Saccharomyces cerevisiae S288C: one gene and its partners. Changing the gene in region 1 together with any one later gene gives a genetic interaction. Each region holds a gene or a part of one and is shown in the gene's direction. Other genes may lie near its edges.

Region 1 (4,898 bases):
AAGTATGGTGACGTCTTTACTTTTAAAAATATTTTTAACAGTTGAAGGAGCTCCCCGTGTACATCTTGCCAGATCTTCAAGAGAAATGTCACCAAATAAATTATGAAATTAAAGTACAGCGGTAGTGATAAAAACGATCATCAAGTAGTGCCATCCGATATTTCGTGTCAATTTCCAAGCTCATGATTTATGACATACAGGATTTTCAAGAATATTAAATCTTGTTCCTGAGGAATTTTTGATAAATCCAATAAATAGTAAATAATAAGAAAAAAGACAGAACAACAACGTTTTGGTGGGAGAAAGGCCACTTCTCTGACCAGACTAGAGTACTAATATTTACGACAAATATACTGAGACCGTGACCAATGGTAGAAGGTGATTGGCTTGAAAGAAATGCCAACATTAAAGCACATATCACTGCTCTTGATATCAGTAGAGTTGCAAAAAAATTATACTACTAAAATCAGCTCAACGGCAAGAAGTTACTAAGCACAGCAGAAATTCTGGAGCTAAAGAGAATAATATACATACAAGACTGACTGAAAACTCTGTTTTCCACATGCAGTGGACTCAAAATATTCAGTTGAAGAAGCAAGCACAAAATTGGATCAACCCGTCGCGTCGCGGCCGCTGCTGCAGGCGACAAATCCACTGGCAAATTGTACGCGGCCTCGTTACTCCTACTTGAAAACAGAAGTAACAACAACAAATTCAAGTTTCTACGAAATGGGTCTCATGACGACAAGGTGCGCCCCCCTATCTACCTTGTTGTAAGTCTGGGACCTGGGGCTAATTTCTCATCCCCGGAAACAAAAGTATACAACTACGTGGCTAAAAATTTTTTAGTATGCAGCACATAGGATGCCAAGGAGCAATTTTTAACCCTGGCAATCTGAGCTACTGAACGGCCGCCTCAGGACTCATAGTTCTCTATATATAATTTCTCCATGTTTCTCCTTGTGCCTGGTGGAAAATATCAAGTAGTTGCCGCGACATAAAATGAATGCCTCGTAGACACCGCGAAGCCGGAATGAAGGCGGACACTACGGCACCGCCTCAAACCCAACGGCCGAGAGCGAGTTCATCTCCCTCATAGATGCGAACGGCATTGGCACTGACGCCATCATTGTAGAACATATAGACAAGATTAAAATGCGTAATCACATCATGAATGGGAAGTTAGGTGCGGTCCACTACCCTGGGGGCCTCACTGGGGACGTCATCACCCCCAAAGCACCTCAATAAGTCCATAAATAAATATATAAAAATTACTGAATAATAATAAAAAAAATAAATTAGTTCAGTCTAAAGAAATGGAAGCAAAAACCTCAAAAAAAAAATTTTTTTACGAAGACTATGCTTCCAAGACTGACGTCTTAGAGGCATAGTCGAGAAGAAAAGGAATTACTGGCACAGAACGACAAGAAATATCGTGTCGGCGCCAAGGCATCTATGTAACTACGTCTTGTGATCACCGGTATAGCTGGGACTATTCCGTTTCATCATATGATCTGGCCGTCTGCGCTTGTACATTCTGGGCGCCAGGCGTAAATGACCAGAGTAATGTCTTGCTGTAGTCGTCCGTCGCCACAGAAGCGCGTGGACGCATGATCGCGCGCAGCGACCGGTCGGTTCGCAAGACGGTTGGCAATAGGAGTTTCCTGCTGACCGCCTTATTAATTTATATGAAAGAGGAGAATTTGTCATCGGGCTTTCGAATGAAATAAAACAGCTCCTTTAAGTAATGGAACTGGAAGAAGGAAGAGAATAAACGACAGAATTTTCGTGCTCGGAGCGAACACCGCGCCGGGTTACGAACAACAGTGGCCACTACTATAATAGTTATGGAGTAGACGTCAGAATATATAGCGCAGGCGTCAGAGTATAGCGCGGGCGTCAGGATATAGTGTGCCAATGTAGCGTGGTTGCATGCAGCTAGCTTTTTAGTTGAGTCAGACCTGCTCCAAAAAAAGAGGAACACAACTTTCGTCAGCATGTGTTGCTACCGCTATTTGTTCTTCGGGGAAAAAAATTTGCATTCGCTATTGTAGTTTTAATTTTCCTTCTCTATTCTCATAAATAGAGTTAAAATCTTATAAACTCCAGAATTATCAAGAACAATTACCTATATTATTTCCTATTGCAGAATTTATATTATTCTTTATTGTACTGATATCCCCATTATAACTATCAAAAAAAGGACTTCAGCACCTGTATCATCATGAGCTTCAGTAGTATAGTCTCTAAGTTTTTGAGATATTTAGAAATTCCTGCCAAAAATAGGACTGCCGTGAATTTTCTGAGGAACCCTGATTTGCAACCTATCAAGTCTGCAAATCAAACATGGGGGTTCTGGTCTAATTTGGCGTACTGGGGCGCTGTGTCCTTTACAGCAGGTACATGGATGAGTGGTTCTGCTGCACTAAGTGTCGGCCTAAGTTACCCAGAGACCATTGTTTCGTTTCTTCTCGGTAATGTCTTGACCATTATTTTCACTATGGCCAACTCTTACCCCGGTTATGATTGGAAAATCGGTTTCACCTTGGCCCAAAGATTCGTTTTTGGCATTTACGGTTCAGCCTTCGGTATCATCATTAGAATTTTGATGAGTATTGTCAATTATGGTTCCAACGCTTGGTTGGGTGGTCTATCTATCAACATGATATTAGATTCCTGGTCCCACCACTATCTGCACCTGCCCAATACTTTGTCCCCAAGTGTTGCCATGACCACCAAGCAGTTGGTCGGCTTCATTATTTTCCACGTCCTCACCGCGCTCTGCTATTTCATGAAACCCTACCATATGAACTACCTTTTAATTTGGTCATGTGTAGCTACTTGCTTTGCCATGCTGGGTATAGTGATTTACTTGACTAAGAATGCCCATGGTGTCGGTGAATTGTTTACCTCCACAAAATCTACCGTTACTGGTTCTAAAAGAGCATGGGCTTGGGTTTACATGATTTCATACTGGTTCGGTTCCATTTCTCCAGGTTCCACCAACCAAAGTGACTATTCAAGATTCGGTTCCTCCAATTTGGCTATCTGGACCGGTAGCGTCTGTGCATTACTAATCCCAGCAACCTTGGTCCCAATCTTCGGTGTCATTAGTGCCTCCACCTGCGACAAATTATACGGTAAACAATTTTGGATGCCCATGGATATATTCGATTATTGGTTGACAAACAACTATTCTGCAGGCGCTCGCGCAGGTGCCTTCTTCTGTGGTCTTTGCTTTACCATGTCTCAAATGTCCTCCACCATCTCCAACTGTGGGTTTGCCACTGGTATGGATATGGCCGGTTTGTTGCCCAAATACGTCGATATCAAGAGAGGTGCTCTTTTTTGCGCATGTATCTCCTGGGCTTGTTTGCCATGGAACTTCTACAACTCTTCTTCTACTTTCTTAACTGTCATGAGTTCTTTCGGTGTTGTCATGACTCCTATTATTGCTGTCATGATCTGTGATAACTTTCTGATCAGGAAGAGGCAATATTCCATTACTAATGCCTTTATTCTAAAGGGTGAATACTATTTTACCAAGGGTGTCAACTGGAGAGCTATCGTTGCCTGGGTGTGTGGTATGGCTCCCGGTCTACCTGGTATCGCTTGGGAAGTCAACAATAACTATTTCCACGACTCAGGTATTGTTAAATTCTTTTATGGTGATTCTTTCTTCTCCTTTTTGATTTCTTTTTTCGTTTACTGGGGGCTATGTGTCTTCTTCCCATTCAAAATTACTGTTAGACATGATGACAAAGATTACTATGGTGCATTTACCGACGAAGAAGCGAGAAAGAAGGGCATGATTCCATACAGTGAAATTTCTGAGGAAGAAATCCGTGCTTACACGTTAGGCGAATGCTACACAACTGGACACGAATACAAACCTGAGAGTTCTGATAACGAATCACCTGAATTGATCAAAACTAGCTCAGAAAACACTAACGTATTTGAAATCGTTCACCAAAAGGATGATGAAAAGCACTCCTTTAGTACCACTCAACAAGTTGTCTGATGACAAAGAATCCGATAAAATGAAGATCTCAAATATACAAAGAGGAAACTTCAACGCTTCATTTGAAAATCTGTACAGATCTTACAATTTGGGAATACTACCAGATCGATCCTCAGCTGCAAATACTTTACTGTCAAGTATGTCTATGGTGACAAATATCGGCATTATTGTGTATGGCTCAATAATTTTATAAAAAAAGGAACTATTGGTTCTTAGTATTTTCTTGCTAGAAGACATATTCTTACCAATCCTTTCATAAGCTAATTATGCCATCCATATAGCAAGAGAATCCGGTGGGGGCGCCATGCCTATCCGGCGGCAACATTATTACTCTGGTATACGGGCGTAACTCCATAATATGCCACCACTTACCTTTAACATGTTCATGGTAGGTACCCCACCCAGCCATAAGGAAATTTTCAAAGGCGTTGGATCAAAAAATAGGCCTTTATTTCATCGCGTGATTGAGGAGCATAACATGTTTAGTGAAGGTTTCTTTTGGAAAACTTCAGTCGCTCATTATTAGAACCAGGGAGGTCCAGGCTTTGCTGGTGGGAGAGAAAGCTTATGAAGCTGGGGTTGCAGATTTGTCGATTGGTCGCCAGTACACAGTTTTAAAAAGTCAGAGAATGTAGAGAAGTATGGATCTTTGAAACCCTTTTATTTTATTTTACTTTTTTTAGAATGACCTGTTCCCGACACTATGTAAGATCTAGCTTTTAACATATTATGGAAACCTGAAATGTAAAATCTGAATTTTTGTATATGTGTTTATATTTGGGTAGTTCTTTTGAGGAAAGCATGCATAGACTTGCTGTACGAACTTTATGTGACTTGTAGTGACGCTGTTTCATGAGACTTTAGCCCTTTGAACATA
Region 2 (8,307 bases), on another chromosome or scaffold:
TTTTACAATTTTTTATAATTTTTTTTTATGTTTAGTGTATATTTGCTAGAAAGAAACAAGATCTTTTTTGGTAGTGTAAATGCTTAAACTTTGTCTCTTTTTCCTTTTTACTTTGGAAAAATGCCGACGCAAGAACATAGACATCTGCGAAAACCAAAAATAAAGTACCAATTGTACATACAAAAACAGAGAAAAAGTTCATGAACAGAACGTTACTACGGTATAGCAAGATCTTTGAATACATCCATTACTTCGGATTGTTCACCATACTTCAACACAGGCCAAGATAGACCATAGCTACAGTGATAGACGAATATTTATTTCAAAAGAAGCATCAACCATAAAATAAAAAGAAAAATGATGAAAAAAAAACCAAAGTGCCAAATTGCAAGGACCAAACCATCGGTCGAAAACGTCATACCATATAACCAATTCAAGAAGACGCAGCCGCGATTCAACGGCAACTTTTCTGCACTGAATAATGAAGAATACATAATACTCTTTGGCGGAGGTCGGGACCTGATACTAGGCTCCCTGACACCTTGTTCGAGCTCTCATTTGTCCAATCAAGCCAACCCACAAGACACCAGTGAGTATGGCACAGACCTGTTTATACTCAACAGCTGCATTATCATTTGGTTCAATGGCTTGGGATATGGGCTGGAAATTCCCTACAGCAGCGTTTTGTACCATGCATCAAGACGGCTACCAGATGGTAGGGAAGGGCTTCAATTAGAAATTTTGCTGACTTTGGAAAGAGACGAAGTGTTGGACATGCTCTACCAAAGCCTCGCGCCACAGGCCTGCGAATTCGACGGCGAAGAAGCACATGCCTTCACCGTGCGCAGCGTGGAATTGACTATCAGGCCCAAATATTCAATATACGATCGCCATTATAACAACGAAATCGAAACCCTTTTCACCTTCGAAAACTTCGGCGTGAACAGGGGCGATGACCTGGTAAACAATTGTAACGAAGCACTAGCCGTATGCATGGACCTGCACGGTGAGGACGTACAAGATCAAGACCAGGAACAATACCAAGATCCAAGCATGGCGTTTGAGGGTGCGCAAGATCTCAACGCCACGTATTCTGGGCTTGGAGACACCCTTCACGGGCCGCCCGTGTATCAGAACGACGGGCTGGCAGACGATCTGGATGGCGACCTCGTTATGGACAACGTGGTCTCTAGGGGTGGTCCAGAAGCAAGTATGTCTATGGAGTTCTACGCAAATCAAAATCTTGCTGGCAGAAAGAACTCCAGAGACAATGAATGAACAACATCTATTATGGGAACATCCCGCTGTACTATGCGGTCTCGTCCTCTACGAATATGGCTATTTGCCTTCGTATATACCTTTCTATACCAAGTAATGAATGTCTTGAGGGCCCGTATGGCCGCGCGAAGGCTTAGTTAAGATGTTTCAGCAAACGGCAGCATGTGAAAAAACCCGTAGAAGGTCCGCATCAGCCTTCCATGCCCGTGCACCCACGGCTCCTCGGAGGCCGGGTTATAGCAGCGTCTGCTCCGCATCACGATACACGAGGTGCAGGCACGGTTCACTACTCCCCTGGCCTCCAACAAACGACGGCCAAAAACTTCACATGCCGCCCAGCCAAGCATAATTACGCAACAGCGATCTTTCCGTCGCACAAGTTAAAAGAAATTGTTGAAAAATACAAATAATCGCGAACAATACGTTGTTGCTATTTAACGCTTTTGGTCTGACAGTAAGTGTGCCTTTCCCAATCACCGAAAAGTGTTGAACGATTCACTGCGACAATAATCAGAGATTACAGTCGGCATTTTGGCATTTTTGGCATACTTTTTATCGATTGAACCATCTTCTCCAAACACTTTTCCTTTTTCCTTCTATTCTGCAGGACCAACTAAAACTGGGTATATATATCATTATCTATATATATAAACGGCTTTCAACAAAGTTATAGGGGAAAACTAAAAATATAAGAAAAAAAAAGGTATTGATTGATAAGGAAAAAGAACCAAGGGAAAAATATAAAAAAGTACATTGGGCCTTTTCATACTTGTTATCACTTACATTACAAAGAAGAACAAACAACTTTTTTAAACGAATTTTCTTTCTTCCTTTTTCAATTTATTAATTCTTTTTTTCCATACAATTCAAGGTCAAATATATTCTTATATGCTCTTTGAATATTTCTGAAAAATATATAAAGAAAAGAAACTACAAGAACATCATCCGGAAAATCAGATTATAGACTAGGATTCCGCTCTTTTTAGTATATTTATTCGCCACACCTAACTGCTCTATTATTCGCTCATTATGGACGCTTACTCCACAAGACCATTAACCCTATCTCACGGTTCTTTAGAGCACGTGCTTCTGGTACCAACCGCTTCATTTTTCATTGCTTCGCAATTACAAGAACAATTTAATAAAATTTTGCCCGAACCCACTGAAGGGTTTGCTGCAGATGACGAGCCTACCACACCTGCTGAACTAGTGGGGAAATTCCTTGGCTACGTATCTTCTCTAGTCGAACCTTCCAAGGTCGGTCAATTCGATCAGGTCTTGAACCTTTGCTTAACAGAATTTGAAAACTGTTATTTAGAAGGCAATGACATTCACGCCTTGGCTGCTAAACTATTACAGGAAAACGACACAACTTTAGTGAAGACTAAAGAACTAATTAAAAATTATATTACCGCCAGAATAATGGCTAAGAGACCATTTGACAAAAAATCCAACTCTGCTCTTTTTAGGGCCGTCGGCGAGGGTAACGCACAATTGGTAGCCATTTTCGGTGGTCAAGGTAACACCGACGACTACTTTGAAGAATTGCGTGATCTATATCAAACTTATCATGTCTTAGTGGGAGATTTAATCAAGTTCTCCGCTGAAACTTTAAGTGAACTGATTAGAACTACTTTAGATGCTGAAAAAGTCTTTACTCAAGGTTTAAACATATTGGAATGGTTGGAGAACCCTTCAAATACCCCAGACAAGGACTATTTACTTTCCATTCCAATTTCATGCCCCTTAATTGGTGTCATTCAATTGGCTCACTACGTAGTTACTGCCAAGCTTTTGGGTTTCACTCCAGGTGAGTTAAGATCTTACTTAAAAGGTGCTACAGGTCACTCTCAAGGTTTGGTTACTGCTGTCGCCATAGCTGAGACGGATTCCTGGGAATCCTTCTTCGTCTCCGTAAGAAAAGCAATTACTGTATTATTCTTCATCGGTGTTCGTTGTTACGAAGCATACCCAAACACTTCCCTACCACCATCCATCTTGGAAGATTCCTTGGAAAACAATGAAGGTGTTCCATCTCCAATGTTGTCCATTTCCAATCTAACTCAAGAACAAGTTCAAGACTATGTAAATAAGACTAACTCTCATTTGCCAGCTGGTAAACAAGTTGAAATTTCTCTAGTCAATGGTGCGAAGAATCTAGTCGTATCGGGCCCACCACAATCATTATATGGTTTAAACTTGACTTTAAGAAAGGCCAAGGCCCCATCTGGACTGGATCAATCAAGAATCCCATTCAGCGAAAGAAAATTGAAGTTCTCCAATAGGTTCTTACCTGTTGCATCACCATTCCATTCCCATCTATTGGTTCCAGCTTCAGATTTGATTAACAAAGACTTAGTCAAAAACAATGTCAGCTTTAACGCTAAAGATATTCAAATCCCCGTTTACGACACTTTTGATGGTTCAGATCTAAGAGTCCTTTCAGGTTCCATTTCCGAGAGAATCGTCGACTGCATCATTAGATTACCTGTCAAATGGGAAACTACTACACAATTCAAAGCCACCCACATATTAGACTTTGGTCCAGGTGGAGCTTCCGGTTTAGGTGTTTTAACCCATCGTAATAAAGATGGTACTGGTGTTCGTGTTATCGTTGCCGGTACTCTCGACATTAACCCAGATGATGATTACGGATTCAAGCAAGAAATCTTTGATGTTACTAGTAATGGTTTGAAGAAAAATCCAAACTGGTTGGAAGAATACCATCCAAAATTAATTAAGAACAAATCAGGCAAAATTTTTGTCGAAACAAAATTTTCTAAATTAATCGGTAGACCACCTTTATTGGTTCCTGGTATGACACCATGTACTGTTTCTCCAGATTTCGTAGCTGCTACCACAAATGCTGGTTATACCATTGAGTTGGCCGGTGGTGGTTACTTTTCCGCAGCAGGTATGACCGCCGCTATTGATTCTGTGGTTTCTCAGATAGAAAAGGGTAGTACCTTCGGTATCAACTTGATCTACGTCAATCCATTTATGTTACAATGGGGTATTCCATTAATCAAGGAACTAAGAAGCAAAGGTTATCCAATTCAATTCTTGACCATTGGTGCTGGTGTCCCATCATTGGAAGTTGCTAGTGAATACATAGAGACATTAGGTTTGAAGTACTTGGGTTTGAAACCAGGTTCCATTGATGCTATTTCGCAAGTTATAAACATTGCTAAAGCACATCCAAACTTCCCAATAGCTTTACAATGGACCGGTGGTAGAGGTGGTGGTCATCATTCTTTCGAAGATGCCCACACTCCAATGTTACAAATGTACTCCAAGATTAGAAGACATCCAAACATTATGTTGATATTCGGTTCTGGTTTCGGTTCTGCTGATGACACTTACCCATACTTAACCGGTGAATGGTCCACAAAATTCGATTATCCACCAATGCCATTCGATGGTTTCCTATTTGGTTCGAGGGTCATGATTGCTAAGGAAGTTAAAACTTCTCCTGATGCTAAGAAGTGTATTGCTGCTTGTACTGGTGTTCCTGATGATAAATGGGAACAAACCTACAAGAAGCCAACTGGTGGTATTGTCACTGTTCGCTCTGAAATGGGTGAACCAATTCACAAAATTGCCACTCGTGGTGTTATGCTATGGAAGGAATTCGACGAAACCATCTTCAACTTACCAAAGAATAAGTTGGTACCAACTTTGGAAGCAAAGAGAGATTACATTATCTCAAGATTGAACGCCGATTTCCAAAAACCATGGTTTGCTACCGTCAACGGTCAAGCCCGTGACCTAGCCACAATGACATACGAAGAAGTTGCAAAGAGATTGGTGGAATTAATGTTCATCAGATCTACCAACTCTTGGTTTGATGTCACATGGAGAACCTTTACTGGTGATTTCCTACGTCGTGTCGAAGAACGTTTCACTAAAAGTAAGACATTGTCTTTAATCCAATCCTATTCTCTACTAGACAAGCCTGATGAAGCTATTGAAAAAGTATTTAATGCTTATCCTGCCGCTAGGGAACAGTTCTTGAATGCGCAAGATATTGATCACTTTTTGAGCATGTGTCAAAATCCAATGCAAAAACCAGTGCCTTTTGTTCCAGTTTTGGATCGTAGATTCGAGATTTTTTTCAAAAAAGATTCGTTATGGCAATCTGAGCACTTGGAAGCCGTCGTCGACCAAGACGTTCAAAGAACATGTATCCTACATGGACCTGTTGCAGCACAATTCACTAAAGTCATCGATGAACCAATTAAGAGCATTATGGATGGTATTCACGATGGTCACATCAAAAAGTTACTACATCAATATTACGGTGACGATGAGTCAAAGATTCCAGCAGTTGAGTACTTTGGTGGTGAAAGCCCTGTAGACGTACAAAGTCAAGTTGATTCTTCCTCTGTATCTGAAGACTCAGCTGTTTTTAAGGCAACATCCTCTACTGATGAAGAAAGCTGGTTTAAGGCTTTGGCGGGATCCGAAATTAACTGGAGACATGCAAGTTTCTTATGTTCCTTTATCACTCAAGATAAAATGTTTGTTTCTAACCCAATTAGAAAAGTTTTCAAGCCAAGCCAAGGAATGGTTGTTGAGATTTCCAACGGCAATACTTCTTCAAAGACTGTTGTCACTCTTTCAGAACCTGTTCAAGGTGAATTGAAACCAACTGTTATTTTGAAGTTGTTGAAGGAGAACATAATCCAAATGGAAATGATTGAGAACAGAACTATGGATGGTAAGCCCGTCAGCTTGCCATTGTTGTACAACTTCAACCCAGATAATGGTTTTGCTCCAATCTCTGAAGTTATGGAGGACAGAAACCAAAGAATTAAGGAAATGTACTGGAAATTATGGATTGATGAGCCTTTCAATTTGGACTTTGACCCAAGAGATGTCATTAAGGGCAAAGATTTCGAGATCACCGCTAAAGAAGTTTATGACTTTACACACGCTGTTGGAAACAATTGTGAAGACTTCGTTTCTAGACCTGATAGAACGATGTTGGCCCCAATGGACTTTGCTATTGTTGTCGGATGGAGAGCCATCATCAAGGCCATTTTCCCTAATACGGTCGATGGTGACTTATTGAAGTTGGTTCATTTGTCTAACGGCTACAAGATGATTCCTGGCGCTAAGCCACTGCAAGTTGGTGATGTTGTTTCAACTACTGCTGTTATTGAATCTGTCGTCAACCAACCTACAGGAAAGATTGTCGATGTGGTAGGTACATTATCGAGAAATGGCAAGCCTGTCATGGAAGTCACCTCCTCATTCTTCTACAGAGGCAACTATACTGACTTTGAAAACACTTTCCAAAAGACTGTTGAACCTGTTTATCAAATGCACATCAAAACTTCTAAAGATATAGCTGTCTTGCGCTCTAAGGAGTGGTTCCAATTGGACGATGAAGACTTCGATCTGTTAAACAAAACTTTGACTTTCGAAACTGAAACTGAAGTTACTTTCAAGAATGCTAACATCTTCTCTTCAGTGAAATGTTTTGGCCCAATTAAAGTTGAATTGCCAACCAAAGAAACCGTGGAGATCGGTATTGTCGATTACGAAGCCGGTGCCTCTCACGGTAACCCTGTTGTTGATTTCTTGAAGAGAAACGGTTCCACATTGGAACAAAAGGTCAATCTAGAAAATCCTATTCCAATTGCAGTACTTGATTCGTACACTCCAAGTACCAACGAACCATACGCTAGAGTTTCTGGTGATTTGAATCCAATTCACGTTTCACGTCATTTTGCCTCTTACGCAAACTTGCCAGGTACTATCACGCACGGTATGTTTTCTTCTGCTTCCGTCCGTGCTTTGATTGAAAACTGGGCTGCTGACAGTGTTTCATCCAGGGTACGTGGCTACACTTGTCAATTTGTTGACATGGTTTTGCCTAACACTGCTTTGAAAACATCGATTCAACATGTTGGTATGATCAATGGTAGAAAATTGATAAAGTTTGAAACTAGAAATGAAGATGACGTTGTAGTTTTGACTGGTGAAGCCGAAATTGAACAACCTGTTACTACCTTCGTTTTCACTGGTCAAGGTTCACAAGAACAAGGTATGGGTATGGACTTATACAAAACTTCTAAAGCTGCTCAAGATGTTTGGAATAGAGCTGACAACCATTTCAAGGACACTTATGGTTTCTCTATCTTAGACATTGTCATTAACAACCCAGTTAACTTAACAATTCACTTCGGTGGTGAAAAGGGTAAGAGGATCAGAGAAAACTATTCTGCTATGATCTTTGAGACTATCGTGGATGGAAAATTGAAGACTGAAAAAATTTTCAAGGAAATTAATGAGCACAGTACTTCTTACACATTTAGATCTGAAAAAGGTTTATTGTCTGCTACTCAATTTACACAACCAGCTTTAACTTTGATGGAAAAAGCTGCTTTCGAAGACTTGAAATCTAAAGGTTTGATCCCAGCCGATGCTACTTTTGCTGGTCACTCTTTAGGTGAGTATGCTGCTTTGGCCTCTTTGGCTGATGTTATGTCTATCGAATCTTTAGTTGAAGTTGTGTTCTACAGAGGTATGACTATGCAAGTTGCTGTTCCAAGAGATGAGTTGGGCAGATCCAACTATGGTATGATTGCCATTAACCCAGGTAGAGTCGCTGCATCATTCTCTCAAGAAGCTTTGCAATATGTTGTTGAGAGAGTTGGTAAGAGAACCGGCTGGTTGGTTGAAATCGTCAACTACAACGTTGAAAACCAACAATATGTTGCAGCTGGTGATCTAAGAGCTTTAGACACCGTTACCAATGTTCTAAACTTCATCAAATTACAAAAAATTGATATTATTGAACTACAAAAGTCCTTATCTTTGGAAGAAGTTGAAGGTCATTTGTTTGAGATCATTGACGAAGCTTCCAAGAAATCTGCTGTCAAGCCTCGCCCACTTAAATTGGAGAGAGGTTTTGCTTGTATCCCATTAGTTGGTATTTCTGTTCCTTTCCATTCCACCTACTTGATGAATGGTGTTAAACCATTCAAGAGTTTCTTGAAGAAGAATATCATAAAAGAAAAT
Region 3 (3,230 bases), on another chromosome or scaffold:
AACACAATCCTTAGGGTAGAATCTTTTGTTGGTTGAAGTTAACGTATCGAATAAATAGTAAGTCCCTGTAGCATCTATATGTTCATGTAATATATTATTGTTCTCGTTTGTTTCCAATAATTGTATCTTTTCAACTAGATCCACAATCCTATTCTCAACCTTGTCAATGGTTTCTCCGAGTTTTAATAATTTTTCAGCTAGCATCTGAATATCATCAGTCTCAGAAAGTTTTTCCTCTTCTGCCTTTAAACCATTTAGTATGGTTTTAAACCTATTTAAGTTTCTTTGATATTGTTTCACCTGTTCATCTTTAATAGAAACTTTTCTTAATGATGATGGCGTCTGTCTGACAGTATCATTTGTTTTGACTTTCGATTGAATCCGCGCAGAAATGTTGTCGTCAATAACATTTCTTGTTTCATCCCTCACTGGGGTCGCCATGTTGATAATTAGAGGTAAAAAATTAGTATTAATGAAGAAGTGAGTACTGATCTTCTTATACTAAATAAGAGAGGTATATAAAACACACGCCGATTGGTCATATTAATCATGACCAATATAATAGTGGTTCCGGTAGTTACTATACATTGATGTGACGACTCATATTCCTCATATATGTACCTACCATATCATGTTCAACTAATAGGTCTTTAACACAGCTTCAGTATTGTCTGAGCTTCTCGTTTAACATTCCTTCTGCAATAGGCGCAATCACACTTAAACGTATACGAGTTGTACATTAATATACGATGTAAGCATTAGATTGTTACCATAGCAACTCATGTCACTATTAATTACTCTCGTTCCAACAATCAAAGAATATTAAATGAACTTCAAATATTAAGTAATTCTCCTTGTTCTGCTTCTACGGCTCTAATCCATATTAGCATACCCGATTAATATAATTGCCTGCGATCGAATACCCAATGTACTGGATTTTGTTGGAACAAGTGATTTATCACAGTTCACACTGTCGTGAAGTAATTTGACGGTATATATCATATATAAACAATATTCAATGGTGAAATCAGCAGTTTGCGTTGAATTAAGAACATATACTACTTGAACATAAACTGGGGTTCATGTAAATGGAAAATATGAGCCATCGCATTGAGCATATGGCAGTCATAAGCAGTTTTGATTCTGCTTAAGATTCAATTAAAAGTAATTGAAAGAGTAAAATGTTTTATAGTTCAGTTAGTAACTTCGAGCAAGCTAGTGCTTGCCATTTAGGCCATTGAATAATTCAGTACGAGTATATGCTTATTATTATGGATAATTGATGCACTAGAACACAAGGAGAACGAGTATTTTAACAAATTGAGCTATTACAAAAGGAATACTTAGATACGGCATTATCTGACTTAAGGCTTCTTCATTAGTGATTGATTAAAAGAAAAAATAGAATGCAAAAGCTAAAGGAATTAAGCGAAACTAGGTTCCAGTAACACTTAATTTAGTAGCCTTATCAATATTAAGAAAGGATGGTAACCTCTAATATATCACTGCCATGTAATGAACTTCTATATTTTAGGGATTTAGGAGGGTTCTGATCTGAATCACTTATGTGTTTTATATTTTCTACATACAGCGCGACTGCTGTTTTCTATCCATAATTATTTTAAGCATGCGCTATCGTTTCTACCTAATGACAAATTGTGGTAACAGCCAGATTTATCTCAATATACATTAGTAGTCAATATCTCAAACGACATCGAATGCCGCACATAGCCATTTATTATAACAGATGAGAACCACATCACTTTTTATTACAAGGTGTCCATTATGACGACTGTAGAAGTATGCAAATCATAAGTTAGCCCAAAGAAGACATTTAGATTTTCTTACGACAATACTAATTAAGGTACCACGAACAAAGAGAGAACAGTAGGTATGTTGTATTGCTACGCCAACTTTTCTTGTGATCAAAAAGTTCAATGCATTCATTCTTCTTTATAATATAGTACAAACTGTTAATTTACTACATACGGAATCATGAGATTCTAAATTTAGTATACAGAGCTTAATTTATTCAATAAAGCATAACTAGTGCCGTAAAGAGTCTAAACCGGTATTTGGCACTGATCTGAGCTTATTGGAAAAACGTTACCCGACCAAAATAAATCACTTCTAGGAAGTAAAGGTATAAAGTATTGATGACAAATGCGTTCTAGTCCCAAAGGGACAAGAAGTTGTATTACTCTTTTCACATATATCAAGGCCACAAAGGTATCTGTTTACTTTTTGACTTTAGCAAAAATTTGAGGAAATCAGACAATGTTTCTCCCAAAATTCAATCCCATAAGGTCATTTTCCCCCATCCTCCGGGCTAAGACTCTTCTTCGTTACCAAAATCGGATGTATTTGAGCACAGAGATAAGAAAAGCTATTGAAGATGCCATCGAATCGGCTCCAGTGGTTCTTTTCATGAAAGGTACTCCTGAATTTCCCAAGTGTGGATTTTCAAGAGCAACCATTGGATTATTAGGAAATCAAGGCGTTGACCCGGCCAAATTTGCGGCTTATAATGTTTTAGAAGACCCAGAGCTACGTGAAGGTATCAAAGAGTTTTCAGAATGGCCAACTATTCCACAGTTATATGTAAACAAAGAATTCATTGGTGGATGTGATGTTATTACAAGTATGGCACGCTCTGGTGAATTGGCCGATTTGCTAGAAGAGGCACAGGCATTGGTACCTGAAGAAGAAGAAGAAACCAAAGATCGTTGATTTTGTTACCACTGGAAGCAAAATAGGAACTGGTGGCCGAACACTTTAATACTCGTGTGCATAATAGGCCTTTACGATCCATATTTATATATGCATGTACATTTGCTATTTTTTTAAAGATTTGTAATGTATTCTCATGCCTTTAGACTTGTAAATAACAGATTCTCTACTTACAAACCCCTCTCTTTGCTTTGCCAAATGAATTGACGTTATAAAACAAAGAAGTGAGAATTATGAATATATTTAATATTCCCCGCATAGACTTGAATCAAAAAACGTTAGTTTTAGAATGACAGAAGCCATATCTTCGTTCTGATTCAACGTGCGAAAGACGCGACAGACATTTGTTGGGGTTGTCTTTGTTACTCTCTTGATTTTCGATAGATTCCGTACTGTTACCAGTTTGCTTTTCCCCCATTTTTTTTAACGTAAAAGGATTGGAAGATAATAGGCGAGCTCAATTTTATTGCCCTGCGAAGCTTTCAAATATGTTAGTCAAA

The links. A genetic interaction does not mean that the proteins touch.
Region 2: mutations in NRT1 (region 1) and FAS1 together harm fitness more than expected from each alone (negative genetic interaction), as found in Saccharomyces cerevisiae (one large-scale study listed by BioGRID).
Region 3: mutations in NRT1 (region 1) and GRX5 together harm fitness less than expected from each alone (positive genetic interaction), as found in Saccharomyces cerevisiae (one large-scale study listed by BioGRID).

Annotation. Positions count from the first base shown.
Region 1 is NC_001147.6:458,603-463,500, reverse strand, and holds NRT1 (nicotinamide riboside transporter), read left to right. Parts: upstream 1-2,224; coding exon 2,225-4,021; downstream 4,022-4,898. Other genes in the region: YOR072W (uncharacterized protein), read right to left, coding at 1,685-1,999. UniProt on the Saccharomyces cerevisiae protein: High-affinity pH-dependent nicotinamide riboside transporter which also transports thiamine with low affinity. Involved in 5-fluorocytosine sensitivity.
Region 2 is NC_001143.9:98,364-106,670, forward strand, and holds the start of FAS1 (tetrafunctional fatty acid synthase subunit FAS1), read left to right. Parts: upstream 1-2,307; coding exon 2,308-8,307. Other genes in the region: YKL183C-A (uncharacterized protein), read right to left, coding at 32-244; LOT5 (Lot5p), read left to right, coding at 358-1,278. UniProt on the Saccharomyces cerevisiae protein: Fatty acid synthetase catalyzes the formation of long-chain fatty acids from acetyl-CoA, malonyl-CoA and NADPH.
Region 3 is NC_001148.4:442,302-445,531, forward strand, and holds GRX5 (monothiol glutaredoxin GRX5), read left to right. Parts: upstream 1-2,277; coding exon 2,278-2,730; downstream 2,731-3,230. UniProt on the Saccharomyces cerevisiae protein: Monothiol glutaredoxin involved in mitochondrial iron-sulfur (Fe/S) cluster transfer. Receives 2Fe/2S clusters from scaffold protein ISU1 and mediates their transfer to apoproteins, to the 4Fe/FS cluster biosynthesis machinery, or export from mitochondrion.